Lepisosteus oculatus: one gene and its partners. The protein of the gene in region 4 binds, or shares a complex with, the protein of the main gene of each other region. Links are inferred from orthologs where the notes say so. Each region holds a gene or a part of one and is shown on either strand. Other genes may lie near its edges.

Evidence for each region.
Region 1: polr3f (region 4) and polr3g share a complex: the UniProt entries of both Homo sapiens proteins name them as parts of the RNA polymerase III complex. The link is inferred for Lepisosteus oculatus from reciprocal best matches to the Homo sapiens genes POLR3F and POLR3G.
Region 2: polr3f (region 4) and polr3k share a complex: the UniProt entries of both Homo sapiens proteins name them as parts of the RNA polymerase III complex. The link is inferred for Lepisosteus oculatus from reciprocal best matches to the Homo sapiens genes POLR3F and POLR3K.
Region 3: polr3f (region 4) and polr3c share a complex: the UniProt entries of both Homo sapiens proteins name them as parts of the RNA polymerase III complex. The link is inferred for Lepisosteus oculatus from reciprocal best matches to the Homo sapiens genes POLR3F and POLR3C.

The regions. Positions count from the first base shown.
Region 1 is NC_090698.1:72,665,712-72,673,685, forward strand, and holds the start of polr3g (DNA-directed RNA polymerase III subunit RPC7), read left to right. Parts: upstream 1-4,428; 5' UTR 4,429-5,151; intron 5,152-5,267; coding exon of another isoform or gene 5,268-5,709; exon of another isoform or gene 5,710-6,069; intron 6,070-6,500; exon of another isoform or gene 6,501-7,974. Other genes in the region: acyl-coenzyme A thioesterase MBLAC2, read right to left, coding at 1,621-2,006, 5,268-5,709. UniProt on the Homo sapiens protein: DNA-dependent RNA polymerase catalyzes the transcription of DNA into RNA using the four ribonucleoside triphosphates as substrates.
Region 2 is NC_090714.1:15,976,905-15,984,965, forward strand, and holds polr3k (DNA-directed RNA polymerase III subunit RPC10), read left to right. Parts: upstream 1-5,364; 5' UTR 5,365-5,404; coding exon 5,405-5,536; exon of another isoform or gene 5,537-5,589; coding exon of another isoform or gene 5,590-5,700; intron 5,701-6,479; coding exon 6,480-6,567; intron 6,568-6,758; coding exon 6,759-6,886; 3' UTR 6,887-7,416; downstream 7,417-8,061. Other genes in the region: uncharacterized protein, read right to left, coding at 356-737; snrnp25 (U11/U12 small nuclear ribonucleoprotein 25 kDa protein), read right to left, coding at 3,119-3,176, 3,523-3,597, 3,863-3,968, 4,289-4,379, 4,644-4,865. UniProt on the Homo sapiens protein: Core component of RNA polymerase III (Pol III) which synthesizes small non-coding RNAs using the four ribonucleoside triphosphates as substrates. Can mediate Pol I proofreading of the nascent RNA transcript.
Region 3 is NC_090722.1:7,225,461-7,233,365, reverse strand, and holds the start of polr3c (DNA-directed RNA polymerase III subunit RPC3), read left to right. Parts: upstream 1-4,587; coding exon 4,588-4,722; intron 4,723-4,990; coding exon 4,991-5,185; intron 5,186-6,149; coding exon 6,150-6,402; intron 6,403-6,878; coding exon 6,879-7,058; intron 7,059-7,740; coding exon 7,741-7,826; intron 7,827-7,905. Other genes in the region: rnf115a (E3 ubiquitin-protein ligase RNF115), read right to left, coding at 319-434, 670-763, 959-1,031, 1,471-1,539, 1,909-2,087, 2,448-2,505, 2,705-2,763, 4,497-4,574. UniProt on the Homo sapiens protein: DNA-dependent RNA polymerase catalyzes the transcription of DNA into RNA using the four ribonucleoside triphosphates as substrates.
Region 4 is NC_090712.1:581,045-588,616, reverse strand, and holds the start of polr3f (DNA-directed RNA polymerase III subunit RPC6), read right to left. Parts: upstream 3,265-7,572; 5' UTR 3,133-3,264; coding exon 3,077-3,132; intron 2,454-3,076; coding exon 2,336-2,453; intron 1,860-2,335; coding exon 1,792-1,859; intron 1,146-1,791; coding exon 1,078-1,145; intron 70-1,077; coding exon 1-69. Other genes in the region: dzank1 (double zinc ribbon and ankyrin repeat-containing protein 1), read left to right, coding at 5,846-5,954, 6,454-6,607, 7,281-7,473. UniProt on the Homo sapiens protein: DNA-dependent RNA polymerase catalyzes the transcription of DNA into RNA using the four ribonucleoside triphosphates as substrates.

The DNA of each region.
Region 1 (7,974 bases), on a different chromosome or scaffold from region 4:
TGTGATTTTGCAACTAATGCTCACAAACATGCATGATCTTTGCATGTTACTGAATTCCAGATCTGAAAAAACAAATATTGCAATGCTCAAACTGTCCTCTGCTGTATAATTAAGTGTGTGACAGTGTTCTTGACACATCTCAGAAGCTAAGTGAGCCTGGGCCAGGTCAGTATGGGCATGCCCTCTAAAAGAAAAACAGCTGCTCTAAGAGATGTTAGAAGACCAGTAGGTGGTGCCGATTCCTCTGGACCTGAATTCTCAAACCGGTTCCTCAGTTTGCGGGGACACCGTGCTATAGGAGATGGTGTTTGAATTAAACAATTAAACTGACGTTCAGACTACACAGTCACTACAGATCCCATAGCTCTGCTTGAGAGAAGGAGTCCTTCCTAAACTCCACGCTGCGTTTACACAACATGTCCTCCTTAAGTCAATTCTCTCATTAGTAAAGTACTGTGGGATTCTTTGGAATGGTTAGAAATACTGTTTTAATGTTTTAAAGTCATCTACTAAAAATCAGTGCCTTCTTATGAGAAGAACTAAAAATTCCCTTTAACTAACCTACATTCAAAAACAAGAGGGGTGAAGCTCTACTTTAAGTGGAAAAAGGGCAAAAGTAAGCTCAGGGGTCAGGTGTCCAAGTGTCCAAGTTTACCCCCATCACAGCACAGGACAGGTTTTCTAGCAATTATGACCACCTGCCTTCTCGCGTCATCCAGGGAAACACAAGTTAAGTTGAAGTTAAACACTCAAAATTTGAAACTCAGCATCAAGATTGCACAGAGATACAAAACAGAAAGAATCTGAAAGAATCATTCTTAACTGAATAAAATTGGGTTGGTAAACCACCCTGAATTGCCACTAAGCCAGTCAAAAGCCTACAAGTGCTTTAAAAAAGTCCTTGTCTTTGCTTATGATACTGTGGTATGAGTGGCAGCATGCTGGAGCAGTGGACTGTGCCCTCACTTCACAGCTCCAAGGATCTGGGTTCAAATCTGGCTTTGTGTGAGTGAACAGTCCACCTGTGGGGCCTGTTGTCGTGTTCTCTGAACACTTTCCTCTCCACCCCAGTAAACATGCTGCCCAGGTAAATTATCATCTCTAAACTGCCCCATGTGTATGAACATGAGCCCAGAGGCACACCAGGGTCCTGTCCAGCGTCACGGAGCTCTGGACACACAGCGGCCACGGAGACCAGATGATGGACGCATCAGTGAGATCATTCCATCTTCCACAACAGCAAACCAGCATCAGCCAAAATAAAAACTTGCTTCTCCATGTCTCACGTGAAGACGAAATTCCCAGCAAATGATATGTGCTCCGCCACTCCTCGTTTCATGCTTTGGAAAGCTACAGAAAAAAATGCAAACGTGCTTCAAGTATGTTTCTTTGTACCTCGAGGCTTAAAGCTATACACTCATCCATGTGCAAACCCAAATCATTGCATTTGCAACACGCACACATTTAAGAATCAAAACTAGTGCAATAATTACCATTTCAAAGTCAAAATTAGTGCAACTGCAGTACTGGGCTAAATTTTACGAACACATTTCATCAATTGAGACAGTTAGCATAAACAAAATACTGTAAACGTATAAAGCAGCCGTTTGCCTTTCCCAGTCAACACCCGTGTCTAGAATTGCAGGCACGGAGAACGAGGCTTGCGACGGACTTCAGGGCACACATGGAAAACCGGTGGCACCCTCCCGCGCTGGCGATGTAGCTGGAGGCGATGCGGTACAGCCGCTCGGCCCCAAAGGTGTTGAAGTGGCCAGGCAGCACCTGCTCCACGTGGCCCCCGTCCGCCAGCTCGACCAGCCGCTCGCAGCTGGAGACGTAGTCGCTGACCCTGCTGTACGGCAGCCAGTCGATCATGGAGCCGTCGTACACCACGTCCCCGCTGAAGAGCATCTTGCGGTCCCTGTCGTGCAGGCAGATGCTGCCTCTGGAGTGGCCGGGCATGTGCAGCACCGACAGCTGCCTGTCGCCCAGGTTAATGACGTCTCCTGAGGAAACAGCAAGAGCACCTTCTTCAAGGAGAACTGCAGTCCCACTTTCTCAGACCTCTAGAACAACTCGGAGCCGTGGTAGCGCAGACGGCAAGGGCGTCTAGCTCCTGACCGGAAGGTCCCGGGTTCAATCCCAGGTAGGGTTAAGCGATGTAGCTTGCCCTAATTCCTTCCAGACGGCTCCCAGCTCCGCTCAACCTGCGAGTACCGGGGTTAATCCTTCCGGGGGAAATCGGTCAGCCGGAGCGTGATGCTGACCACATCACCTCCAGTGTCGGATGGTCAAGAAAAATGGTGGCCCTTGCCCCCCTATCCCCAATGGGCCTTTATGGCCTGTAAAAGGACCTACCTACCTGTAACAAACTAAATCAATCGACAGTACAGAAGAAAACTCACAAATTTCAAAGTAAGCACAAAACCGTGCATTCGGAGTCGCCGTGTTGTGGCAGACCCCTGGGAACTTATTCGAGTCCCCAAGAATTGCAACGTGAACCGGCCCTTCCTGCTCACTAGTTCCTGCCCTGACCAATGCAATGCGATGTACGAGCGAATAAGTACAGGTAGCGCAGCCGACATTTCACCGCAGAATTATTCCAGCGTGATCCCCATGCAGAGCTAACAAGCAGTATTTGTCTGCAAAACTGTCTCGAAGTTGAGACAATATTTCTATCGGATGAAAAGAGCTGTATGCACAAGCCGGCTTATTTACAACGTAATGGGGCCACATCATCTCACCACAAGTTTTGTTGCCTCGTTGTGAATGGCAGGACAGGGCACTGCACATACCTGGAAATTTCATGTATTTTGTGATGTCAATTGGAGGTTTTACCAGTTACTGTGTACATCAATGCTGACCCCGAAATATGAAAATAATGTTACAGTCCCCCTTTAATATTACTGGTGGGCTGTGAAACTTCTCACGGACACGCTGGAAGAAAATCCCTGGGAAAGTTTGAGTCATCTCAGGGAAAATGGAGGCTGCTTAAGGCTAGGAACTACGGATGGTTATTCTATGGATAATCAATATCCCTCAGTTTTCCCTATTAGTGTCAATAAAACATGATGTCACTTTTCCTTTCCATCTAAAGCAGGGATATTTTTTCCACATCTCAGGTTCCACAATCTAGTAGAGCAGCCGTAGGCTCTGTCTGTCTTTCTACAGGAGAAGCTATTCCGAGTGGGTCCCAGCCAAGTCACGTATTTCAGATGTGTTAGTTCATTAAGAGAAAAGACTTTTACAGCAACTGCTGCTTTGAAGATGTGCAATACTGATGTCACGGTATCACAGCTGGGCACTTTCCTCATTCACACTCTCTCATGTTGTGAATATAAGGTACAGGAAGAACAGCTTACTATCCACAGTAAAGGATTTCCATTTTACTAGTTGTTATTTTACCAGCTACTTGCATGCAAACTTAATTTTCACTTCCAGTTCATTTTCTTAAAATCCTAATTACTGCCTTCTTGTCCACTTTGATTTCGTTTTTGAGGATTTTTAAACACTGCATGTGAAATTAATGAATTAATGTATTTCTGAAGACAGTATGTGGGTTGCAAGGTAGTAGACATCTCAGATTGAACCCTGCTGAGAGTATTTTCAAAGTGTCCAAGTCTTTCACTAGTTTTCTGCTTATAATAGAAGGGCAGAATGGTCAAGGCATGAGAGACTGACCTCAAGTCTAACGTCTGAATATGTGTAAAGGTTAGTGCATTCTTTCGTGTATCTCCCAAAAGCTTTATAAAAATGCCACTTCTATACAAACCCATGGTCACATTGCAAACTGTACTGGTTTTGACAATGACTCTCGTCATTTTGTACGTTTCCCGTTGTAAGTGAAATAAACTCATGTAGGCTCCCCATATACCAGAAATAATTTCTGATATATATCAGAAATATCAGCGCTTGCAGATTTGTCTCTTTCAGCAGGAACGTCGGTGTCCTGCAGCTGGGTGTGAGAAGAGCTGTGCCGAATCGTACTGTGCCAACAGTGGGATCACTGAAGTATCAGTGAGAGGACAGAACAAAAGCGCTGCTGTGAAGGTCATGTGCGAAAATATCAGGCCAGAGTCTCCCAGGTCCAGTTACTCTGTTACCGGAACTGGCTGAAATCGATCCACAGCGGCCCGACATCGCCTGTCCCGGTCTGCCCGGACGAGGGACGCCACAGAACTTGCGCAGTCCCGCCGGGACACCCCCCAAAACACCCCACTGCCACGGCGCGATCACCTGTTCACTGCGCAATAACCAGCTCCTGGTTAGGAATAATAAAGGCAGACGTGCAGTTATTCCAGTAGTATCTCCCCGTAACCCCAGAGATATAGTTCTCTCAGAGAGTCTAGGATATTTAATTGGGAACGTGTTTTTTTCTGCACCGCCGTGCTTTGACAAACTTTTGGGCTACAGTGTTGCGCGGAACCAGCAGCAGAGCGAAGAGGCCGTTTCAACCCCCCGAGCGCTGCTAGTTGGAGATACAGTATTATTCCCTCTCTGGTGTCTTCAGGGGGGTGGAAGATTGTGACTATAGTGCAGGCAGTCTGTCATCCTTCTTGTAACGAATCAAGGAGGCGGATGAATCTGTAGAGATGCAGTTCATCGGATTTGGGACCGATTACGCTCCTTAACGCAATTTTCTCATTGCTCGTCTAGAATAGCAGTGTGTGGTACAGGAGTACTTCGACCCGGTACCAATGCTTTTATTTGCTTCATTGGCTATGAGCCCTAAACGTCCAAATCAATCGGAAAGGCACAGATCGCATAAATACACCGAGCGCAAGATTGTGTTCTGGATATCTTTTCCGTTTACAAAAAATACCCCCAAGCAACAACGTTAATGAAATAGTTTATTAGAGATATAACGCCGCACGTCTGTGGAAACCTATGTTTAGTTTTTGATAATACTCAAGCTCGTCTTCTCGATGCGACACCGGAAAAACGAGAGCGCAGCCTGCGCCCTCCCCCACCTTCCTCGCCGTATGGCGTCTTTAAAGCTCACTCCGTCGGGCCGAGAGACGCTGAACGTACCTCCAGCAGGGCGACAGATTAGCCCTGCTAATGCGAGACGGCCTCTGTGTAACTCTGCTGTTAATTAAGCAGATGCCACGGGTATTTTTCGCCACTTGTTGAAAACCGGTGTCCGGAACGGTAAGGCATTAGTTTACCTTATCATAACGCGCAATATGACCACGCACCGCACCGTCGCCGTCCCTTTCACGCACAAGCGGCTCTGGTGCATGCCTATATGTGCTAGAGATATTCACCTTCTTGCAGTACGCGAGTGGGTCGCACAGCCTGCACTCTGAACTCGCTGGCCCGCCAGCCGGGTGTCGGAGCCCGGGCGATCTCGCCGTCCGACAGCCAGGTCACCATCTCAAAGTTATCCCCCGTGGCGAGCGCGTCGGCCTCGGCTCTGTGAACCCCCACCTGGCGAAACTGGTGCAGCCCGCCCGAGTGGTCAAAGTGGACGTGGGTCCCGATCGCCAGCGGGGGGTTCTTCCGGCCGGACTCCTCGCCCAGCAGCCCCTTGGCGCGCAGGTAGTCCGGCAGGCTCCTGAGGCCCAGGCCGGCGTCGATCACCACGTCCTGGTGCGACCCGCGGACCAGCCAGATGTTCGCTCTGTTGCCCGACTCGTAGAACCTCTCCTGGATCCAAAACACGCCGTCGCCCAGGCACTTGTGAGCGTACCACTCCGTCGCAGACATCCCGACACCCGCCTCCCACCCACGCGTAATAAAATAAAGACACCGAGCTGTCAGGGACGTGGAGCCCCGAATCCAGACTCGGTCCGGTCCGGTGAGGAGGCGCAATGCAAACCAGGGTTGGCTTGTGCAGAACAGGAGGAGACCGCGACAGGCGCTCAGCCTGCAGGGAGAAAAAGCAGCTGAGTGGATAAACAAGGTCCGAGGGGCTCGTGATTGGCTCGGACCTGCGACTGCGCCCCTCCGACACGCTCCGGCCACACCCGGCGGCTTAAAGGCGCAGCCCTCTCCTGCTCGGTGCGGACTGCTGTCCCTGAACCAAAACCAGCCGGGATCCCGCCTCCTCGGTGTTGGCTTTGCGGAGGTTTCCTACTTTCAGGACCTCTGAAGCGCCTGACAGACGGGAATATAGTTGCGCTTTTGTTTCTAGTCGGTGTGAACGAGAAGCCCGATAATATCATTCTTTCCAGAAGACATGTAGTAGTAATACACAGCATATAATGGCATATGACCGATAAGGAGAATATATGTCCTGTAGTCAGAGGGCAATGAAAATGAAATGTTAATAAATTGAGTTATAGTGAAGACCCGCTCATTTCCTATCAAAGACCCTGTAAAAGCTGCTGATTGTATTTGAAAGGGAGGTGGGTCGCTCCAGAATACCGAATATAACGTAGAAAAAACAGGCTTCTGAGCTCCACGACACATTGTGAACCTGCTAAAAATATTATTATTATTATTATTATTATTATTATTATTATTATTATTATTATTATTACGGGGCCATGCTTAAAAACAATATTAAATTATGTTGCAGATGCATTGTATGGTTTCGCAATGTTTTAAGGCTATTTTCTTCACGTTCTTTAAACGCGTGGTTTATTATCTGAAGTGTTTATGTCACGCCGGTGTTTTTTTCCCCTTAGTTTCAAGTAGATTTCTAGGTGAAAAATGTTTTACCGTATTAATTATGACTAATTCGTTAGTTTTAGTTCACTAATCTGGGTAGGTTTTCATACAGAGAAGTGTTTATCACCCGTCTCCGAATTAACAAAAGTTAATCTCTTTAAATTCTGCCGAGCAAGGGAAACGCAGTACTAAGGAATCTCTTCACAAGGCACCTGTGGCCTCTCAGCTATGTGTTTCAATACACTGGCAAAATCTGACTTTTTTCATCCTCAGACTGGTAAAGTAACGTGCTAATTGCCCTTACTATGAATACAACTTACCTATGGGGCGTTTACGTGACACCCTGGTATTCACACTCTGTATACTGATTTAGGTCTACCGTTTTATTTCTTTGCCTGACTCCAGCATTGCTTGTCCAGCTTCTGCTACTGTAGCTGCACTGCCATGGTATTACATTTATTTACCTGCCCCGAGAGGCTATACGAAAGGATCCGTTTTAATCTTGAACAGAGAAACGTTCAAAGCAGGAGGCTATTCGACCCACCTAGTATTGAGAACTTGATTCCAGTATTCACAATTCCCCGATGCACTGACAAAGACGGGGACCATTGATCAAAATCAACAGCAAAACACCAGTGCAAATTAAGTGCGTCTATGGGAGGGGGATTTAAATCTAATTACAGGGGGGAATATTTACAGAAAGGGCTGTGGGGTCTGGAATAAGCCGCCCAGTCATGTTGCCAGAGCCGACAACCTGACTTCCTTCGCGAAAAGGGTGGACCTTTGTATCAATTACTTACGAGCAACCGAGCTTGTCATCAGAAAGGCCGAGTCGCCTCCTCCAGGCTGTAACCCGTCTTATTTTCTTACCTGCATGCTCCAGCACGAGTGCTCTCTGCACGTACACTTAAAAAATAAATTAGATGTATAGTTTAGGGCGTCGGGTAAATTATGCATTTGTTCATGATGACGAACGGCTCACTCCCGGGAAAGTCGCGGCAGACTGGAGCCATCCCGGCAGTTAAAGGACTCCGAGTGGCCATACAGTATATCCATCGTGCACCGGCGCACACAGACACTCGAGGACAACTGGGAGACGCAAATTAACCCTATCAGCATGTCCGCGGAAGGTGAGAGGAGGTCAGGTCCCCGGTGCAAACTCCACGCCAGACCAACAGCTGTCAGACAGCAGCGCCAGCTGCGAGAGCACTACCCTACCCTACTCCCTCGTACCAGTTTTTTGTGATCACAAGTAAAGAAAAAAAAAAGTCCGACTTTGATTTTAAATTTAAAAAATCATTTATAATCTTTGTGTGGTGCCGGGTCGCGTTCTCCACTGTAGCGCTTTCATGCTCGTGT
Region 2 (8,061 bases), on a different chromosome or scaffold from region 4:
AGAAGAGCAGGTTTCCGGGGTGCCCAGCGGCAAGGGGAGAGACCCCTCGAGACTCGGAACGGCAAGTGAAAACAAGCCTTCTGCACCCCAGTGCACTGTACACATTGCTATTTAGCATGCTCAAGTGATGAATAACCTTCACCCAGGAGACATGAAGATCTCACCCCTGTTCCCCACAGGTGTATGGGTGTGTGTGATCCACAGGTCAGTGCAGCTCTCTGCCTCCGAGACCCACCAGGAAACAGCCAGCTGCTGCTCTGTCCCCAAGGAACGCTTACTTTCCCTAAGCTGGACCGGACTGGGCTGTATTGTCCCTCATTCTCTGTGCTTAAATTTCGGGGGAGGAGTGCCATACCTTGTTTCTGACCATCTGGGTAGAGGATCTCTTCTTTCCTGGCAAGGAGATCCTCCTCCTTCTCCGAGAGAGCTTCCAGTTCCTCCTCGATCTCCTCCAGCTCCGATTTCTTCCCCGATCCGTCTGCTAGACACCAGAATGCGTTATTTGGACACTGAATGAACAGTGGCACGAGGACAAATTTAACAATCGGCCAAAGCACAGCTCGGGTCTTGGCAAGAAACCTGGCTTTAAAAGAAAATCGGCGGGCGTGTGTGTTGTTAAAACAGCGGGTGCCGGGGGCCGGGGACCAGGGGACCTTTCTTCTTCCTGCCAGAAGGGGCGATGATCTTGGTGTCCTCCTGGAAGCTCTGCAGCATGGACAGCAGCGCTCGCCGGTCATTCAGCTGCTGGGTCTTGAGCTGCAGCCGCCTCAGCTCCTGCTCGATCTCCTGCAGCTCCTGCAGCTCCTGCGGGCTGGGCATGCTGTGGCCACCTCCTGGGGACGAGACGAGGAGCTGAGGGAAAACGGAACGCCGAGCACAGGCCCCTGGGGGCCAGCAGGCTGGCCAGCTGGTTACTCTACCTCGGGCCGCGTGGTCTCACTGCAGCATCGAGCTCAGCAGGGCTTTAATCACAGGGCCCAACATCCAGACCTTCACTGCTGACACAACTCTCCCCCCACCGCGCCCCAGGCAGTAAGAGAAAGAGCAAAGCTCCCAAGCAAACCCTCCTCAGGACAGAAGGCGGACCAGCTTCAACAGGACGTTGAAACCGCGGCGCAGAGAAGAGGCCAGGCAGCCACACTCCGCTTCCAGCCTGGGGGTCGATGGACTTCTGCTCCCGCATTGTTCCGATCAGGGTCGGGCACACCGGACAGGATGCCAGTCCCCTGCAGGGCACACCCATGACCCTAACCAGCAAGTCTGTGGGAGATGAGAAAACTCACCCCACCCCCAGGGAGAACACCCGAAAGAACTGAACCCAGGACCCAAGAGCAGCAGTGAATTGGCAGTACTAACCCCCCCCACCCCGGTGCCAGCTTTCGAAAGTACAGGTTCGTGCCAACAGTGTGCATACCACGTTAACCAGCAGAAACACAGCAAAAAAATCTATACGTACATTCACTGGGAGGCAGATGCAGTTGTCTCAAGTCCATTGTGAAATATAAATACGATCAAATGATTTTTATTTTTGCACTCAAGCAACATATAAGCACACGAAAAGCTTAATTAAATGTATTCCCCAATTCTCCACCCTTCCATCGTACTGTACATCTTCAACAGCGCTTGATTTAATAGATAAAGATGTTTCCATTGCCCAAGACTTTAATGTTCTCAAGTGTTAAATAACCTTTATACACAAAAGCTGAAGATCTCACCTCTCTTCAAGCCAGGCGAGAGAAGCTTGTCTGTGCAACCCGAAGCTCAGTGCAGCTCTGCGACTCCAGGAAATAGACACCTGCTCTTTGCCCAGTATAGAGAGGAGAAAAAACTGTTGCAAACACCATATTTAAAGTATGTGGTATAGTACAGTGTCCTTAACACCTTCACTTATACTTTAAAACGAGGCATGAGATCAGTAAAAACAATGTTAGTATACACATCTTCGGCTGTATAACACACTGCTATATACATCTATGCCCTAGGAACCCCCAAATCCCACCAAATCCCTGTATATATGAAGGATGGGGAATTCAAAGAAGCATCTAATTTGTTTGCTGTAATGTTCACTGAACTGTAAATACCACAGGGGACAAAGGGCCATCTCATCTGCCCAAACCAGGGAACGTCATTGAACAACGCACACTCAACAAGTGGAGCACTGCAGTTTTTTAATGCGGATTTTTCACTTGACAATTTTTTTTTACACAGAGAAATCAATGTACAACCATCTACAAAATGTGAAAAAATACAGTTTTTTATGAAATCTCTATAAAACAAACCTAATGACACAACAGTCATACAAAGCTTTCTCAGTGTACAGAGCTGAACGCTGGAGTGAGCAGAGGTGTATAGCTCTTCAAGGGGAGTGAGATGATCCTCACAGCTCCGTCTCTGCACACCTAAATCAACAAAACGTCCAGAGAATGACACGCTGACATTCTGTTAACAACACTAGCTTACCTGAAACAAACTAGCACTTTAAAGACAGCAAGTCATGGAGTACAGGTTTATCTTAAGTGGGCTGAACTCCGTTCGTTACATCACTGGGTGCAATGTGTTTAACATTCTGCGATACATAATCCACTAGCGTCACCGAGAATTCAAAACAATGTCGGGTTCTGATGTCGGCGATGTAAAACTTCAAAAAGACTCGTAAATCAGGACACACAAACTGCCGGGGCTTGACCAGCACAGTGAGCGCACAGTCGCCATTATAAACTTTCAAAGATCTGATAGACATTTCCTTACAACACTTCATTTTGCATCTTTCAGATTTCCAGAACACGGCTCTGTATCGGTCATTTGGACTGTGAAAAAGCCTTAGAAAATGAGTATATAAAGGCTGAATCAATTCCTCAAGCACAGTGAAGAGAACTAATTTGAATATGAAGACATATATTCAAATGCGGTCTACATTTGAACTTTTTTTTTTGGCTTGGTGTTATTTATAACCCGGGTACCAAACAGGTCAGACTTCAGGAAGCAAGGCACCAGTAGCACCTCAGAAATGCCTGTGTTGCATGCATCCCACAGGGCCGAACTGAGCGTAGAGGAAAAGGAACCCAACTCGGGCAGAACTTCTTAAGTAACTGGTAAATCTGTAAGACGCTACCTTGTTTTACTTTTTCCTCAGTTTCTTGCCAAAAGTCACTTCATCTCTGTTCCTTATGCCGTAACTGTGCAAAGAAAAGAGAGAGAGTTTTCAGGACAAAGCTCTGGGGTTCCACACAAAGAACTCTCTCTGAGCAAACCTGAAAGTGAGGTTATTCCACACAGTTTTACCTCTCAACAAAATAACACAATCTCCACCCCCGCCTGCTGCTGTCTCCTTTAAAACCCAGTAGCAACAAAGCACCTGGGATGGTCTGGTTCGAATGAGCCCTAAACCGATCGGTTATCTGCACATCGCCACATTCTGCGATACATAATCCACTGTTGTGTCCCTCGCTTCACAGCTCACAGAGCACAGACACTCACACTCATCAGCAATGCCAGGGAAGGGGAATGTTTGTTTTTACTTACTCCTTCAGCTTCATTTTGTCGTCTTCCAGCTTCTCCCCGTTGAAGATTAAGTGATAGGTTCTCCACACGTACCTCCTTGAAAAGGCAGAAATCGGAAAGGACGAGCGATGAAGTTTACCTCGCACAATTACGCACAGGATGTGAAAGAAAGATCAATGTTAAAATGACCCTACAGTGATGTCTGACTTTAAAGTAATTCACGCTTCAGCGTCTTATCCCAGAGTTTTTACAAAAAAAGCATGCAGGATCTCTAGTATTTGACCATGTTGTCAAAAGGAAAAATTCCCCCGACTCCAGTCTAGACCGTTTTATTGTATTTTTCGACTGCAGGACACTCTACCAGCTGATGTGCTTCACCCCTCCTTCACGCTGCTGTTTCAGCTCCAGGTATCTGCGGATGGCTTTCTTCAGATCCAGCACGGAGGCGTTCTGCACCACCACGATCGCTGCAAGAAAGCACCGCTGTCTGAAAAAGAATCCCTCCTCTCATTTTCAAGTTTTCTTACGATCTTTAACTACCTCAACCCAGAGGGTCGATGAACCTGTCCTACACGCCTGTACTGAGTAGCTTAAATCACTCCGGAGTCGCTTTCACATCTTGTGGTTCACTAGTGACTGTGAATTCAAACAGCTGACAGCCACTGGGCCTGACCAAGTCAGTGACCCAACAACCCCACAGAGAAGCATCTGGTTGCCTGATTTCCTGCGGATCATACAACAGGTTAAGAGGGGGGAAAAAGCCAAGAAACAAAAACTCGTGACTCACGCATGACCTCCCCGTCGGCCTTGCAGACACGCACAGTCATAGCCTGGCCATACTCCAGAGCCACCTGAGAGCTCACCTCCTCCAGAGTGACCTGGAGTGACAGAAAGCCAGGCAGGAGGGTTCAGCTGTGGAACGCTCAGTCCCGAGTCCCAGAGGGTCGTGGGTTTGAAGGGTTTCAAAGTCATATTGGGTTATTCCCCCACCCCACCCCAGCTTCACAGCTTTCACACTTTTTCTATGCTGCAGCCACACGTGCCCTCCTGTTTCATGTCAGACAGGGATTGCTGCCAAATCTGTCTTGCTGGGTTACACAGCTTATCCAGGATCCAGAAGCCGACGAGGCAGATAAACCAACCTGTATCGGCAGGTCGCAGAGCAGGGGGTCCTGCACTATCTGAGCCAGACCTTCCTCGAAGATGTCCAGGAACTCCGCGTGGGGCAGGGCTTCCTCATCTTCCTCTTCCTCCTCCTCCTCGACTTTTTTGTCCTCCGTCTCTAGCTCTCCGGTCTGGTCCTCCTCTTTCACCGCCGCTCCTGCACCGAGACCCGGGGAACCTGTCTCCACCGCCTCGGCCATCAGCACTCGGGGGGATGAACACACAGCGGGGCCGAGTAGACCTTAAAACAGGCCCTCCATTCAAACCCACACCGGCGGACTGCAATGAACAGACTCTGTGTGCAACATGACAAGGGGTCATCACTCATCACGGCCAGACGAGAAGAATTTTAAATCAATGCTTAATGGTTGCACTGAACACAACTCGGTCTATCATGAATCAACTAGATCAATTCTGACAAGTATATTCACGTCAAGTCCAGTTATTGCAGAGTATTCATCACACCTCCAAAGAAAAACCGCCACCTTTATAAAATGAGACGCTAAATAGCACTCACCACTGCTTCTCCTCCGCTGTCTTCCAAAACGGACGCTTAAACAATTCTCGGGTCCGTTCATTTTCACTTCCCCGGAGAAACTAGGCGACTCTTGTACCTAGGACACTGATACTCACAAATATGGAATATGCCATAGACAAAAAGTAACCTAATACATTTATACATTACCTAATATATTTCTGATTTGATAGTGGTTTAAACTGTTAACAGTTTCGACCACAAATGCGACTCGTTTGCAGGCGCTGTGGGAACTGTCTGAGTCAGGAATTGTTTCCTAGCGGACACTTAAAACTGCGTGACACGGGAGAGTTTGCGGCGTGCAGTTTGAGGAATTCGCGAAAAACTCGTCTTGAGGTTCGAAGACGTCTTTTTCAACAAATACAGTTGTTTTTCTTCTGAGATAGGAGATGTTGCTGTTCTGTCCGACCTGTGGAAATGTCTTGATTGTGGAAGAAGGGCAGAAGTGTTACAGGTTTGCGTGTAACACCTGTCCCTATATACACAACATAACTAGGAAGGTAAGAGAGTCGACAAGGCTCTTGTTACATTGCGTAGGGTCTCTATCATCGTGCCTGAGTCGTATACTTTAGTATTTTAAGACGTTTGTTATATTTTAATAATTGCGTTTGCTCATTGGGTATAGATGCGTCACAAGCAAACATATTCAGCGGTCCAAATTATGATGCAGCTTTTTGCTAACATTGTGTATCATTTTGGATTCATTTCTCTTACATTTTTTCCCCACTATCTCGAGTCAAGCGCAGTAGTTGGGCTGTACCCCCCCCCAGTGGCTGAATCTTCCTGCTGCTCCTCCTTCACGGGGGCAGCCGAATCCTGCGTGAAAGTAAAATCGTTTAATGAGTTTGTGGAAACCTGGTTTAACCCCCGCCCACCCTGGCTGAGGGCTACCCTCCCGGCCATGGGGCGAGGAGACTAAGACCCCATGCCCGGTGAAAAGGTGACCAAGGTGTAGTTGCACAAGCAAAGATGGGGATGGAGGAGTAGGGATGCGAAGCGAGCGAGGGAGACAACAGAGTGGCGTGGGGTATATATGGGAATCTGAGAATTTATGGCAGGATTAGTTGCGTGTGGAGTTTAATTAGTTTAATTTAATGGCGCTATGCGTGCGCCTCCGAGAGTATTCTCATGGGCGAATGTCACCTGAAAAAAAAAAAGACCATCGGGACCCCTATAATCTGGGCGAAAGGTCTAGAAGGTCTGCAGGGCGGGTGGTGCTCTGCGTGTAAGACACCCGTCTTGCTCGTCTTCCTGACGCAGCGTGTTCTCGATGCTGTAGGTCACCAACAGAAAGTACCCCAAACTGAAGGAGGTTGATGACGTTCTGGGCGGCGCTGCGGCCTGGGAGAATGTGGATTCCACTCCAGGTAATGTCACTCGAGAAAGGGGAAAACAAATCCCCGTTTTTCGTTATTCGTTGTCTAGTGCAAATGTGCCGTGGGCCAAAGATGGGGAAAATCCCGCATTTTTCCCGAGGTGTCCAGTGGTGCGAGTCAGGAAGTCCGGTGCCAATCCTACACCATTTTGTCATCTGCTACCTCTGGTGTCTTCTTTCCAGAGACCTGCCCGAAGTGCGAGCACCCCCGGGCCTACTTTATGCAGATCCAGACCCGTTCGGCAGATGAGCCCATGACCACCTTCTACAAGTGTTGCAACCAGCAGTGTGGGCACCGCTGGAGAGACTGAACGCCGCAGGGACCGGCCCTCGCCTCGCTGTCTGATCCCCCGCTGTGTGTTAAACCTCTTAGAACAGGCATGCTGGCCGTCCCCCCCCCAGGTTAGCGGCCATCGGAAATTCTCATGTGTACTCCAAGTGAAGGAGCCATGCTAAGTTTTTGAACAAATAATTAACGGTCCTGTGGCATCTAAAGAATCACTTCGTTGAAGTGATTCAGGATCCCCAGCCGAGATATAGCAAAAACACCGTAGGGCTGCAATTGAAACATGACACTTGTCTGTCTTGAATATTCCCAGGGAAGTTCTTGGTGTTGGATGCTGAAAGGGCTCTGAGGAATGAGCAGACAGCCTGTTCTGTGCCAGACAGACCTGTTGTGGAGTAGCTCTGGTTGTAGTCGTATTAAGCTATTTAATACGTGTATATATTTGAACAAAGTTCACCGCACTGAAGAGATTACCGGGTGAAATATGAGAGGAAATGTGAAGCTGTCATTCTTTTACAGGTCTTGAAGTGAGCAGAATAAAACTGTGTCGAGTGATCCTGTGTTCAAAACCGCTGGTCATTCAGAACCAACATATTCTTAGAAAGCTAAAGGAAAGAGGCTGGTTCTCGCTTTGCTTTTTGTTTTTATTGTTAAAAGAATAATTTAGTATCCAGTGCAGTAGTAGTGGAGCAGCTCGCATGGCTCATCTTACGCAGCAGTGTAATTTACATGGCAACACAGATAGAAACAGAGAATACCGGTGACTGGATTGAAGGTGATCTCATTGTCTTTTCCTAAAAAAATACTTGTGCACTTCAACCCACCTTTAACATCACAGCCTTTCCACAGCACTGCAAGCCACTTCACATTGCGTACAGAGAGGGCTGGAGCGTACAATGTCAAAGGAGGCCAGCCTGCTTTTGCAAAATATCCATAAGAAGCTCGAACATGCACTGCCATGGGACATTTACGATATATCATCAATTCATTTTTACTAGCTGCAGCCGATAGGCTTTTTCAGACTTTGAAACATGCTAGGTAGTTAATAGCATAGTTTAAAAAATAGAAATATACTGGAAATAAACATACCTAAAAAATGTAATTAGAATGGAATAATTAAGGTCTGAATGGCCGACAGAAGCAACAATGTATTTTTCATTGAGTGCTTACTGGCAGGTGGCTCCACGGACAAACCACAAA
Region 3 (7,905 bases), on a different chromosome or scaffold from region 4:
CACTCTCTCCCTGCCTGTCTCGCATTCAGGACAATCTCCCCCTGCCTGTCTCACATTCAGGACAATCTCTCCCTGCCTGTCTCACTCTCTCCCTGCCTGTCTCACATTCAGGACAATCTCTCCCTGCCTGTCTCACTCTCTCCCTGCCTGTCTCACATTCAGGACAATCTCTCCCTGCCTGTCTCTCTCCCTGCCCCTCTCGCTGGGACAACCTGCGGGTCCCTTTGCTCTGTAAAGCCCAGTACTTACCTGTTTGCATCCGTCAGTCAGTATGTGTGTCAGTGTGTGTGAGACAAGTGTCCGTCTGTCTGTCCTCACCAGTTCCAGCCAGGGTACGATGCAGTCGCTGTGGAAGAAGTGATTACAGGGCAGCTGTCTGACGGGCTCCCCCAAGGCGTAGTCCTCTTTACACACTGGACACTCCAGACTGGACTCTGGGGTAAGACAGAGAGAGAGGAATCACACTGTCTGCACACACTGGACACTCCAGACTGGACTCTGGGGTAAGACAGAGAGAGAGGAATCACACTGTCTGCACACACTGGACACTCCAGACTGGATTCTGGGTGACACAGGAATTACACAGCCCTTCTCACCATGTCTGCAGTCTAAGAGGAAGCAGGAGAGGTGGTGAAGTTACTGATACTAATAACGGGCAGCTTTTCTTACCGACTTGTTCCTGAGAGACATGCACTGTGGGCAGAGACGAGATTTTCTCCTTCTCAGCGGGCGGGGGACCAGTGTTCTCAAACTGACCCAGCAGCTAAGACAGGACAGTATAGTATTAGTATGACAGAGCCTTATCCTGACAACTCTCTGACACAGTGAGGCGAAGGTAGGGGACAGGGCAGTGGGACTCTAGTTCAGTCCTCACATCCAGCTCTGTGCGATCCAGCTGTACAGTATATTACCCACCAGCTCAGATGATGTCATAAAGGGGTCCGGTGATGTCACTCACCTGCGTGATGACAGCGTCCAGCCCGCCCTGACCCCATGCATAGTCCCCCGGGTTCGAGTGCAGCATGCCCGTCCTGGGGGAGATGGAGAGATCGCTGTGAGACTCCGACACGTTCCTCTCTGTGCCATCACCCCTCTGTGATGACCGCAGGGACGCCGGGGCAGAAGGGAGTAGCTAGTGACCGCAGGGACGCCGGGGCGGAGGGGAGGAGCTAGTGACCGCAGGGACGCCGGGGCGGAGGGGAGGAGCTGGTGACCGCAGGGACGCCGGGGCGGAGGGGAGGAGCTGGTGACCGCAGGGACGCCGGGGCGGAGGGGAGGAGCTGGTGACCGCAGGGACGCCGGGGCGGAGGGGAGGAGCTGGTGACCGCAGGGACGCCGGGGCGGAGGGGAGGAGCTGGTGACCGCAGGGACGCCGGGGCGGAGGGGAGGAGCTGGTGACCGCAGGGACGCCGGGGCGGAGGGGATTAGAGACTGCAGGGTGTCACACACTCGGAGAGAAACAGGATTTACCAGGAGAGAGGCGGCGACCCTGGGACTCCGGAGTTAGCGAACAGACCAGCCAGGAACTGCTGCACAATTCTGGAGACAAGGAGAGAGAGGATACTGATCTTACTGACATGTCTACAGTGAAAGCAACACAGAGACAGATATCTACAGAAAGGAGGAGGAACTGTGGATTTGGCAGAAATGCTAGGATCCCACCCTGTCCCTCTGGAGTCCACCCACTCAGGGGCAAAACACCAGCATCCCACCTCCAGTACCCGGTGGTGTCTACAGCACTACTAGACTGACTGCAGGGTTACAGAAGGTGGTAATACAGGATTAAATGTTATTAATTAAGCTGCGATTTCCTCCTGTTAAGCCTCTTCTCCTGCTGCTCCGACCTGGGACCTGGGAAGAGAGGAGCAGACAGAGACAGAGAGCACGGTGCAGAGGACAGCCCCTCACCCCTCCACGGCGGGCGAGCGGTCGGGCCGGCTGCTGCCCCGGGCCCGGTACCGGCGCTGGCTGTGCAGGCGGTGGGGCCTCCCGGGGCCCCAGGGATCGGTGCTGCCTGGCCGCTCAGGCCCCTCCTGGCTGTCCTGCTCCAGTGAGAAGGGCCGCTCGACGAACAGCAGGTGCCAGAGCTGGGGGACAGAGGAGAGCCAGGGGAGAGAGTCAGGTCACAGAGTTCATGAGCGCACACGCGCGCGCACACACGCGCACACACACGCGCACACACACGCGCACACACACGCGCACACACACGCGCACACACACGCGCACACACACTGGAGACAGAGGAGAGTGAGGGGAGAGAGTCAGGTCACAGTGTTCATGAGCGCACACACGCGCGCACACACACTGGAGACAGAGGAGAGCGAGGGGAGAGAGTCAGGTCACAGTGTTCATGAGCGCACGCGCACACACTGGGGACAGAGGAGAGTGAGGAGTGAGATCACAATGTTTGCATGCATGTACATACACCAAGAAAAGGAGCACAATACCTCTGCAAACTGTGAGGCTGCATCATCGTTGATCCCGCTGGCGCCGCCCTCCAGGAGACTGTGGGAGTACAGACAGGGCTAATCAATGCCAGAGTCATCATGTGACACACACAACAACACACGGTGACACACGCAACAACAATGACAGAACACACACTGGTCACCATTAAAAATCAATACAACAGGGTGAGGAACAACATGAGTGCCTACTTTAAACTTACAATACAGACTGTGGTCTGTGAAGAAGCAAAGCCTACCTGGAATCCTCTGTGACCTCCTCAATGAAACCAGATTCACATCTGGGACAGATATATTCCTGAAATAAAGACAACAGCAGCTCTTAAAAACAGAGATTGTCAAGCACTGACAGAGCAAGTACCCCGACTGACTGTAGTTACTGCACACTGACAGTACCTGTGACTGACTGTAGTTACCGCACGCCCATAGGATGGCTGTAGTTACCCGAGTGTAGTTACCGCGCACCGACAGGACGGCTGTAGTTACCCGAGTGTAGTTACCGCGCACCGACAGGACGGCTGTAGTTACCCGAGTGTAGTTACCGCGCACCGACAGGACGGCTGTAGTTACCTGAGTGTAGTTATTGTGCACCGACAGGACGACTGTAGTTACCTGAGTGTAGTTACTGTGCACCGACAGGACGACTGTAGTTACCCGAGTGTAGTTATTGTGCACCGACAGGACGACTGTAGTTACCTGAGTGTAGTTATTGTGCACCGACAGGACGACTGTAGTTACCTGAGTGTAGTTATTGTGCACCGACAGGACGACTGTAGTTACCTGAGTGTAGTTACTGCGCACCCACAGGACGACTGTAGTTACCTGAGTGTAGTTACTGCGCACCCACAGGACGACTGTAGTTACCTGAGTGTAGTTACTGCGCACTGACAGGACGGCAGTGGTTTCCGGACTGTAGATACCTCGCACTGACAGGACGGCTGTAGTTACCTGACTGTAGATACCGCGCACTGACAGGACGGCTGTAGTTACCTGTATAGTTACTGCGCACTGACAGGACGACTGTGGTTTCCTGACTGTAGATACCGCGCACTGACAGGACGGCTGTGGTTACCTGTATAGTTACCGCGCACTGACAGGACGGCTGTAGTTACCTGACTGTAGATACCGCACACTGACAGGACGACTGTGGTTTCCTGACTGTAGATACCGCACACTGACAGGACGACTGTGGTTTCCTGACTGTAGATACCGCACACTGACAGGACGACTGTGGTTTCCTGACTGTAGATACCGCACACTGACAGGACGACTGTAGTTACCTGACTGTAGATACCGCACACTGACAGGACGACTGTGGTTTCCTGACTGTAGATACCGCGCACTGACAGGACGGCTGTGGTTACCTGTATAGTTACCGCGCACTGACAGGACGGCTGTAGTTACCTGACTGTAGATACCGCACACTGACAGGACGACTGTGGTTTCCTGACTGTAGATACCGCGCACCGACAGGACGGCTGTAGTTACCTGTATAGTTACCGCGCACTGACAGGCTTTTGTTATCTAAACAGCAGCAGGTCGTCTCGACGGTACTTGAAGTCTCCACATCAGGTCCCAGACTGATTCCAGCACCGGAACGCGTTTCCCCAGACTGACAAGGTCCGAACCCACTCCCAGACTGGGCTGTCTATGACCCCTGTCCTCCAGCCGAGAGCCGTGACAGCTCAGTCCCAGCTGCGGACTCCCGCAACCCCTGCGACGGACGCCGCTCGCCGCTGACCCCCGAAGATGACTGACAACAGCCCGGCGGGTCTCTTCCCCTGCCCTCGAACAAACCCCCGAAATATGAGATGCACACCGACACCCGCGGGAGCGGATCAATAAATAAAATCCGAAACATTCCCTCCCCCCTTCCGCCCCCCACCAGCTAAAGCCAAACAAGGCCTGTAAACAAACTCGGAGTGTCAAGCACAGCCCCGGGCTCGAGTGCGCACCGCTCACCGCAAAAGGCGCGCCTCCGCCCGGCCTGTCTCAATCAGAGCAAAGTCGGTGGGAACCGGGACTACTCACCGGCAGCTTGGGGTTCACCTCCCCCTTACAGCAGTGACAGAAGAAACGATGTTGGGGAACAGCCGCAGCCTCCGCCATCTTCCACTGGAATATGGCACAAACAGTGACGTCGGTCCTCCAGCTCACGGAAGGAGGCGGTCCGCCACCGGCCCTGAATGCCTCTTGCGGGACTAGACCGAGATTTCATCCCCCGAGAAGACCGATCACAACCGGAAAAAGCCGAAGGGTAAAGGCCGGAAGTGTGTGGGAAGGGAGGGACTAGATTCGCCATCTTTGTGCGGGGCAAGGCAATAGCGGAAGTAGATGGCGCACACGTGTCTTGTCGAGGGAAATGGGAACGATATAAACAAGGCAGAAAGAGTTATATGCTGGGCAAATGCCGGTTAAATAAAAGTCATTGTGCTTAAGTGGTTTTGGAAAGAACCCCTTCTTTGTAAAGCAGCAGGGTGAGTCTTGAGGAGTGGGATTCTGGAATCAGCGCTTTACATCTGTAGGCGCCAGCGGTTGCAGGTCTGTCCCGGCTGGGACGTGTTTCTGTGCAGATGACGGCGCAGGAGGTGCGGCTGTGCGCGCTGCTGCTGCAAGAGCACTTCGGCGAGGTGGTGGAGAAAGTGGGGACGTTCCTGCTGAAGGGGGGTGAGCAGACCCTGAGGGCCATCGCCACGGGGACCGGGACCCCCCTGCACCTGGTAACGCGCTCTCTGACCCTTTACCTGCCCCTGAGTCTCATGGTGTGTCCTGACTTCTCTGGTCCACTCCTCCCGCTCAACCCCTTTACCCTCTCCCATCCTCTCTCTCCCTCCTCTCCCCTCTCTCCTCTCAATTCAATTCAAGGTGCTTTATTAACGTGACCGATGGGTACAATCAGTTTTGCCAAAGCAAATAAAAATAAAATTAACATGGAACAAAACAAAAAATAAAATCTACAAAGAAATTATAAAATATGTACATATACTGTAAACATATTGAGCAGATCACATACTGGGCTGCCAGTTCAACTGAGTTCCCTCCTCCCTCTCCCAGTAGGATTGGGACCCGTTGTGATTCTGGCAGGTGTGGGAACTGTGGGACTAGATTTCTGTATTTCTGGAAGAATGTTTCTCTAATCCCAGAGTATCTGTCACAGTGCAGTAGGAAGTGCACCTCTGTCTCTATTTCTCCCCGCTGGCAGTGGGAGCACAGCCTGTCTTCCCTGGACAGCCAGGTCTGCCTGTGTCCAGGCTGTGGTCACTGAGCCTGTCCTCTCTGGACAGCCAGGTCTGCCTGTGTCCAGTGTCTCTGTCCAGGCTGTGGTCACTGAGCCTGTCCTCTCTGGACAGCCAGGTCTGCCTGTGTCCAGTGTCTCTGTCCAGGCTGTGGTCAGTGAGCCTGTCCTCTCTGGACAGCCAGGTCTGCCTGTGTCCAGTGTCTGTGTCCAGGCTGTGGTCACTGAGCCTGTCCTCTCTGGACAGCCAGGTCTGCCTGTGTCCAGTGTCTCTGTCCAGGCTGTGGTCAGTGAGCCTGTCCTCTCTGGACAGCCAGGTCTGCCTGTGTCCAGTGTCTGTGTCCAGGCTGTGGTCACTGAGCCTGTCCTCTCTGGACAGCCAGGTCTGCCTGTGTCCAGTGGTCTTGTCTTGGTCCGACATGGGGCTAGTGTGTTCCTCTCCCCCCCAGGTGAAGAAGTGCCTGTGTGTGCTGCTGCAGCAGGGCCTGTGTGAGTTCGGGCCGGGCCGGCGGGGGGTGGAGTACAGGCTGCCGGAGCCGCGCGTGTTGGGCCTGCTGCGCTTCCCTCGCTACATCTACACGGCCAAGACGCTGTATGGCGACGCAGCGGAGCTGCTGGTGGAGGAGCTGCTGCAGCACGGCCACATGACCATGAGCCAGGCCGTGCGGACAGTGGCTGACCGGCTGACCGACAGCATGGAGGGTGAGAGGAGGGCCTGTCTGTCTGTCAGCACCTCGAGGGTCAAAGAGTCTGCCTGCCTGTCTGTCTGTCAGCACCCCGAGTGACAAAGAGTCTGCCTGCCTGTCTGTCTGTCAGCACCCCGAGCGACAAAGAGCCTGTCTGCCTGCCTGTCTGTCAGCACCCCGAGCGTCAAAGAGCCTGTCTGCCTGCCTGTCTGTCAGCACCCCGAGCGTCAAAGAGCCTGTCTGCCTGCCTGTCTGTCAGCACCCCGAGCGTCAAAGAGCCTGTCTGCCTGTCTGCCTGTCTGCCTGTCTGCCTGTCTGCCTGTCTGCCTGTCTGCCTGTCTGCCTGTCTGCCAGCACTTCGAGGGTCAAAGAGTCTGCCTGTCTGTCTGTCAGCACCCTGAGCTCCCAATAGTTGTTCGGTCGATGCTGTAAGTTGGGGTGGCTGCGAATGTGGGGGTGTCCCTGACCCTCTGTGCGGCTGTGTGGTTACAGAGGGAAAGAGCATGGAGTACAGCGAGGTGACCAGCGTCTTCTCTCGCCTGGTGGAGACGCACTTCCTGCAGCGCTGCCCCCCAGTGGCAGAGCGCAGCGGCGACAGCGCGGCCTGCCCGGCCCCCACCCTGGCTGATGGCGACAAGGAGAGGTACACCCTGCCCCACATCACCCTGACAGGTAGCCCTGCGCCTGGGGCTGGGGGGGGGGGCAGGCTGGGCTGACCGGCCCCCCTGTCTGTCTGTCTGTCTGTCTGTGTGGGGCTGGGGGCTGGCTGGGCTGACCGGCCCCCCTGTCTGTCTGTCTGTCTGTCTGTCTGTCTGTCTGAGTGGGGGCAGGCTGGGCTGACCGGCCCCCCTGTCTGTCTGTCTGCGTGGGGCTGGGGGCAGGCTGGGCTGACCGGCCCCCCTGTCTGTCTGTCTGTCTGTCTGTCTGTCTGTCTGTCTGTCTGTCTGTCTGTCTGAGTGGGGGCAGGCTGGGCTGACCGGCCCCCCTGTCTGTCTGTCTGCGTGGGGCTGGGGGCAGGCTGGGCTGACCGGCCCCCCTGTCTGTCTGTCTGTCTGTCTGTCTGTCTGTCTGTCTGTCTGTCTGAGTGGGGGCAGGCTGGGCTGACCGGCCCCCCTGTCTGTCTGTCTGCGTGGGGCTGGGGGCAGGCTGGGCTGACCGGCCCCCCTGTCTGTCTGTCTGTCTGTCTGTCTGTCTGTCTGTCTGTCTGTCTGAGTGGGGGCAGGCTGGGCTGACCGGCCCCCCTGTCTGTCTGTCTGTCTGCGTGGGGCTGGGGGCAGGCTGGGCTGATCGGCCCCCCTGTCTGTGGGGCTGGGGGCAGGCTGGGCTGACCGGCCCCCTGTGTGTCCCCCTGCAGGCCGGGGGAAGCGCCCGCGGGCCAGTGAGGACAGCGAGGGCGACCAGAGGGCGAAGAGAGCCAGGCTGGACACGGCGGCTCACGAGGTACTGGACCCCAGAGGAGGGGCGCCGTCAGTGCAGCTCGTCCTCCGTTGCTGTCCCTCGTCTTCCTCCTCCTCTCTCT
Region 4 (7,572 bases):
TCTTCAAGATCTTGTTAATCTCCGTCAGAGGGAGGTTGCTTTTGTACCGGATATCCCTGCTCCAGATTCCTGCCAAAGTCAAGGGAACGATAAATGTGTTTATAATACAAATTTATTTTACAAAGACCACTGTAATCAAAATTCCTTTCCACTAGAAATATCTTTGAGTTAAAGATCTATCTTTAATGAAGACACTGGGCATGTTGGTAAATAATAAAACAGTTTTAGTTATTAGTTCTTTTCAAAGAGCCCAACACTGCACGTATAGTACTAAGGACATCAGCCATGCTGAGCTACTGGTTTGGATTTTCTGTTTGTGATGAATTAGTGCCTCCTGGTGGTGCCCCAGAGTTACTTCTGTCAGAAACCTGAATATCCTAGTGTGCCCCATCCCAGTACTACCTGACCTGCTCCAGCCCTGCTTAGCTTCAGAGACCTGAGGAGGTGAAGCTTCTAAGTGGCAATGAATATAGACAAGCTGTGTAACAGTTTTAATACGTGTAATCTTACTAAAGGTATGTTCTCTGTGATTCTCTTTAACCAAAGATTATTAATAATGCAATGCAAAAAACACACTGAAAATATATGACAAACTCAGGTCCATGGAGGTCTGCAAATATGAACCAATGAAACTGAAGCATTGTACTCGTTCACTTTCAAAGAACAGCAGTAGTGCAGCCCACCGATTCACTCAGAACTGTGAAGCAATGCTACCCCACTCGCGGCCTCAGTGCTCCAGTTTCATTTGTGCTCTAGATAACTAAGTCAGACTATGACGTTCAATGATAATGATGGGACATATTAAGGATTTTGACAGGTAGGCAGTGGCTTTCAGCTGAACAAACTCCTGATGTCAATCTGAAGAAGTGATTGGAAAACAAACGGCTCAAGGCAAACAACTGCTCCATATGAAGAGGTTATTACAGTTGCTTAACCTCCTGTTCTCTCATGTCTTCATCTCCTACACAGATAATTAATGTAACGTCTACAGTTACAGCAGTGCAGCAGTGTTGCCGTTAATGTGGTGAAGCACATGTGCAAATGAGCAGATTTTGATTTCCACAGCAGAAAGCTCACCTTTGTTTCCGGCATCCTCTATGACCTGATACACCAGCTTCTCCTGGTTGTCTGAGCCCTTCATCTTACTGGTGAAAAGAGGAAATTTCACTTTAAATCACTAGCATGTGATTTAAATCACTAGCACACAGGAGTACATGAATGATGATGAACTGATATTCAATTTAATCATATAACCAAATGCAAAATGTTACGATATAGGTGTCCATCAGTGTAAGTACAGACAGACAGTGCATTTTCTTTAAACTCACTGAGAAGACATTATACAATGCTGACCACCTTACATTACAAAGAGAATCACAAATTCAGCTTGCACGCATAAGACCTATTTCCTTGACTGAAGGTCACTACAGCTCTAGGCAGACTCTAAGGTGGCAGAAAATCTGTGGTTCACTTAGTTTGTCGAGCCTCTTGAACACTGCTACATAATCATGAGAAACATTTTTACCCTACTGGACAACTCTCATTTTTGAGTTATGTTACAGTGATTACACTAAATACCACACAGTTGAAGAAATATCTAACTGCTTAGAAATAATTTCTGTGTGCACAAAGAAGTCCTTCTATGGCAGAGCAGTACAGCGCCAAAATGTCACCCTCTCAGACTGGAATACAACTTCAGCTTTCTACAGAAAAACTGCTCATCTCCAATTTTAGTTCAATCAAAGCAGGGTCTATCACGTCCAATGGTGTTGAGGTAAAAGGTATGAGCACCTGGCCACCTGTGCGTCTTTCAGCCTGTACAGAAGACCATTGCTGTTTCTCAGGAGGTCCAGCTGACCCTGAAAGATACAAGAGACAAATCTTACATATTTATCATCCAATAAACAGATATCAAGCAGCTTCTCAGCATGGAATAAACTCCTTAGATTTGTTTCCCTGTGTGTCAATTATTAATTTCCTGCATTGAATGTACAATTTTAGGTCCTCTGTCTTTCTATTGTCTGAGAACAGCAGTATTAGGTGAAAAGAAAGAAGGAGAAGGCTCAGTTTACGATCCCCACATAATAACTGAATAGTTATCACAATGTTCCAATAACAGGAGATTATAAAAAGATGTTTAAAGGCATCTTAATAATCTGCCAAATACCAACCATTGTACATTAAAATAAATGAGTAACTAATGAATGAAATGGAAAATAGTTTGGAAACAAACCATTCCTCTTCCTCTAAACCAGCGTGGTCTCCCCAGTCCTTGACAGGAGCGCAGCGCTAGCTAGTGTGCTGACAGCAATGAAAGAGGGTTTGTGGGATGTACCATGGAGAGCAGCCTGTTGATGGCCATGGCCCGCTGCTGTGGCTCCACATGCGGCATGTCGTTCTGGATCACCTGGTCTGTAATTCCGTGCGGGAACTGCTGGCACAGCTCCTTTATTCTGGAAGTCGGGAATGACTGAGGGTCAGTTATCCAGGTTCTCATGCTGTCATTTCTCAGTTGTCCTCTACGTGTTTAATGTACAACACGCCGTATTTAAAGCTCCTTGAAGGACTGCATACAAAGTTTTGGTTTGGACAAATTATCCAACACTTAGACAAGCAGAACCCAGCAAGACATTACAACAACTCGGTACACGTCATATAAAAGGAGACCTAAAATAATCTACTGTTGAAACGCATAGCCTTCCCTGCTCTCAGAAACTATTGGACGAGTTCCTAAGATCGATCAAATCCATTGTCCTAACGATCTACACAGAGCCCATGACCTCTCGTTCGTGAACTGTCTTATTGTAACTTGTATCTTCAAAACTGCACGAGTTACAAAGGTCGCTGCATTTAAGAATATCGCGACACTTTCAGCTCCAGCGAACTTCAATTTTTAAAATAATCTAATTCTAAGGTGAAATGGCGCTAGGCAAAACCACGTGACTTGAACACTTTATTAATCAACGTAACAGCCTAAATATTTTTTTTTTTGTCGGAGACGGTGTGTAACGTTTCTTGAGCGTTTTTGTCTTGTTAACTTCGTGTTGACATACGGTTAAAAGAAGACAAACCTAACCTGTTTTCAATGTCCACGGGATCCGCAGATTCTTGTTTTACCTTAACTTCTGCCATGTTCAACTGACAGAAGAACACAACTGAACTATCCAGTAATCCCTAATTCACGATGAACTCCGGAACACCACCTCTATGTCAACACAGCTTCTCTAGGTGGTAACCATGCTGCATTTCCGAAAAGGTTGGGGTCCTTCTACCTCGTGTCGCAGTTTTAGTAGTCTCTCTGAGTGCCTGACCAAAACGTGAAGTTAAAAAGCCTATACCGCGTAGGAAATCTTTCAAATATTTTTTTATTTTATGTTGAAGTGCACGAGAAATTAAGACTATTTAAACACCCAGACATAATTTAATTGTAATACAATTGTATATACGTGATGTACTTTACGTTTGTAAAACAGATACATGAGATGCATTTTTAGAATATATGTTTTTAAATTGATCTTTAGGTTTAATCGGCTTAATTAGTGATTTAAAGATGATATTTGTGTTATTAGTCTCAAGAATAGGTTTCAATAGCCAGCAGCCAGATCACCCTGCAACTCACAACTGGAAACCCACTGAAGCTCAGCAGGTGTGAGCCTGGTCAGTACCTCCTGGAAGAGGTGTTAGTGGTGCCAACAGGGGGCGCTCACCCTGTGGTCTATGTGGGTCCTAATGCCCCAGTATAGTGACAGGGACACTATACTGTAAACAGGTGCCGTCCTTCGGATGAGACGTAAAACCGAGGTCCTGACTCTCTGTAGTCATTAAAAATCCCAGGGCGTTTCTAGAAAAGAGTAGGGGTGTAACCCTGGCGTCCTGGCCAAATTTCCAATTGGCCTTTACCAATCATGGCCTCCTAATAATCCCCATCTATGAATTGGTTTCATTACTCTGCTCTCCTCCCCACTGATAGCTGGTGTGTGGGGAGCGTTCTGGCGCACTATGGCTGCAGTCGCATCATCCAGGTGGGGGAGGGAACTCCCCATTACCTGTAAACAGCTTTGAGTGGAGTGTCCAGAAAAGCGCTATATAAGTGTAAGCAATTATTATTATAGGTTTCCACTCCATGTGAATGCAGCTTTTACATTAGGTGTCCGAGCTTTGCTGTTTTAGCAGCCATTGGTCCGCTGGTTGCTAGGGGCCAAGCTGTCCTCCAATGGGATTCTGAGCTGCGCTGTTGTGTTGGTTACCGTAGCGTAGCTGGTTGCACGCAATTCTGGTGCGGAGCGCGACTGCACAGTCCGGTCATTGATTGATTGTATATGTGCAGATATTAAATTAAATAGGTACAATTTATTTTTTCTTGGGATTTTAAAATATACATCATCGCAGTTCGTGCGGGGGACGAATGGAAAGATCGTGAAATCACCTTAAATCCATATCCAGGATTTGTTTCGCCTTCAGCTGGTAATTGGAATAAGAATGCACACTTGTCGTGTTTTTTGTACGCTTAAAATTGATCGGAAACTGATTCAGAGGTAGCCCGACAGTTTTCCAATTACAGTTCTTTTTAAATAGCCTTAAGATCAGAAAAAGAGGTCTTTAATTGCGTGTCCCGTTGTGTGACGTTGAGTGAAGTCCTGACTGCTTGTTCATTTGTTCATGACAGATTCCAGCGCTGTGTGTAAGAGCAGGGCTGTAACCCTCAGGTTCGGGCTAAGTTCCGCTCTGGGTCTTCACAGTCTCACAACCCTCACGCTCTCATTAATTCGGTAGCTGAACTCAGTGAGGGGCGTGATGGGTCTCTTCCTGTGTTGAACGATCCTTTTGGACCCTTTGTGTAGCAAGATGTTGTTTTCTGTACTGATACTGGTTCCAGTGGATTATTATTATTGTTGTTCTTATTGTTATTACACAGAGCGATCTAGACCTGAGTAACTTGTGAGTAGTTTTCAATCATACATGGTAAATATCTGCCTCCTTCATGCTGCCTTGAGTGTGCCGGTCATATAAATGAATTGCATTAAATCATAGGTTTGGAACGTTTTGGTTCAAATGGTTTATTTAAAAAGAAAGGACAAAACAGCCAATCGCTTTGATCAGCAGGTAGAATATCCTACAGCTGCTGTATCTGCCCTCAGGAGCCCCACACTGCATGTGCATGTAAAGGACTGCTCAATGCGTGGTCCGAGAGTGTTGTGTAATGCAGCCCAGGGTTAGATCCTGGCTCAAGACACCAGGCCGGAGGGGTGCAGGCTGGGCTGGCGCTCCAGGTTGTGACTCCAGGCTGTGACCCCCACCCTGTGGGGGCTGCAGGATGGAGGTCAACATTCCGGCTTCACTGTCCGGATGAGCTTTTCCTCTCTCCGGCTGTCCTCTGGGATGCAGACACAGCTTCCTGCTGCGCTGGCTGCAGGGCGTGTTCTGTCTAGTTCTGATCCTGGGCAGGATACCCAGGCACAGCTAGTGGAGAGGTTCGGGTTCGGGGTTTGGAGGGGGTGTCTGGGTTTCTGTGGAGAGAGTTGTGTTTTTCTGGAGCAGGACAAGAGCAGTTCATGCCTGGGATCTGGTTCAGCACCTCTACTGGCCTGGGAAAAGGGGTACTAGCCTTGCTCTCACCAGAAGCAGTTTTCCGAAAATGAGAGAATGGATCCTTCTGCATGGAAAATAGACGAAAAACCAGACCTGCCCTGTAGTCATGAGTGATCACAAATGAGACGCTGTATTATAGACATATACTGTTCTGCGTCACTGTCTGCTGAGTGCATGAAAACTATGCATCTATATTTGACTGGACTTCTACTTTTCCAGGCTCAGTTCGACAGAGCTGTCGTTTTCTTGAGTGAACATGACGGCAGGCTCGATCGTGGCACCTCAGATCATTCCCATCAGAATTCCCCTGCCTGGCAAGGCCAAGCACCAGATAGACACCAACACACCCGTGGAGATCAAGTCAGGTAAGAGCCAGGAGCACCAGGTCCAAAGTCTTCATCGTGGAACCATCGACGTCCTGCCGGGGAGCTGCTGTGTTTTCTGGGATTTTGCTTGTCTTGCTGAACATCCTCCAGCATGTTATTCAAGTCACTGGAAATGCCAGAGGCTGCAGTGATGTCCTGATAATGTTGTGCAATTTTTTTCTCAGGTAGATAATAATGCTGTACCTTGTAGAAACTGACCTTTATATAAGGATATCCTCCACATGTCAGTCGGTCACTCTCCCACTAAAACAAACCAATCAGTTTCAAAACGAATTGATCCAATTCAATGGAACTTCCTCAGCTGGAGTTGCAGGCCGTGTGCAGAGGCAGTGCTGGCCAGCAGACCTGTAACTCTCTGCAGGGAAGGGATGGCAAATGGGATTCAGGGTTTTCTCTACGCGACGAGGGGAATATGAGGGACTAGGCTGGTGTGTCAAATTTGAGTGGCTGACGAGGTTACAGCACGTCTCCTTCACAGACACCCCAGACGTCAGTATTTTCTTCACCCTGGACGGCAGTAAACCGGAGGTGCTGAAGAAGCCGGGGTTTGGAGAGAGCAGCACACTGCGATACCGGGGGCCCGTAGCCTTACCTGAGGGGAAGGTAACGGTGAAAGCACTCGCTGTTAGCAGGTGGGTCGCAAAGGAAGGTCCAGGGTGCTTCTGGCCCCCTCCCACCGAACCAGGAAGTTTGGTTTAGAAATCCTGATTCAGAGAGAAAAGAGGAAATAGCGCCACCTACTGGTTGACACCTCCAGTAACAGCTTGATCCTGATACCTCCCATCCTAGCACTGACCTGGCCTTGCCCTGCTTATATCCCGGGAGATAATGATGTTAGAAAACAAAGGAGGATCAGCTGTTAACTAGCAGCCTGAAAGTGGTTGATTGCAACAAGCAAGGACTGGGCATTAGTCAAAGAAGTTAGCAAAGGTGCAGGAGGCTCAATGTGGACACCCTGATTTGAAGTTTCCAGCTTCTGTAGAGTGCAGTTAGAATGTACCTGTGTCACTGAGGTGTCCAGAGCCTTCAGACACTCTTACACTCTCTCTGCAGCAGCTGTTTGCAATTTAAATACCAGCCTTCTGAAGGCTAACATGTAAAACTTTGCTTTGCTGCTTTCAGATTTTTAGTTAAGTGCTGAATTTGACAAAGTTTTGTGTTTCCAAGTAGAATATTTTTGTTATGTCTTGTGTGTGCAGTTTGTTTCAGGGGCATCTGATCACCGTGGTGTCACCAAGAAGCTGAGCTTCCTCAGCCCTGCACGTACAGCGGTGCTGATGACGGCGTGTTCTCGTTGTGTTTCAGGGATGGCAGGGAGAGTGCAGTCGTCACCAAGTTCTTCCTGGTAGAGTATCTTCCTCCTCCTGATGACCCAGCCTTACTTGAAGATGATAAAGACAACTTTCTTGAAGAGTACACCCAGGACACGGCCCGCGACACTGCCTGGGACACGACCCGAGACACTGCCCGCGACACAGCCCGGGACACTGCCCGCAAGGCAAGCGAAGTCTCACCCGTCACAACTCGCTCCAGCGAGGCTCTTAGACACAGACCTGCTGATGCTGCTGATGCTCGAGTGTGCTCAGAGTGAAGTTCT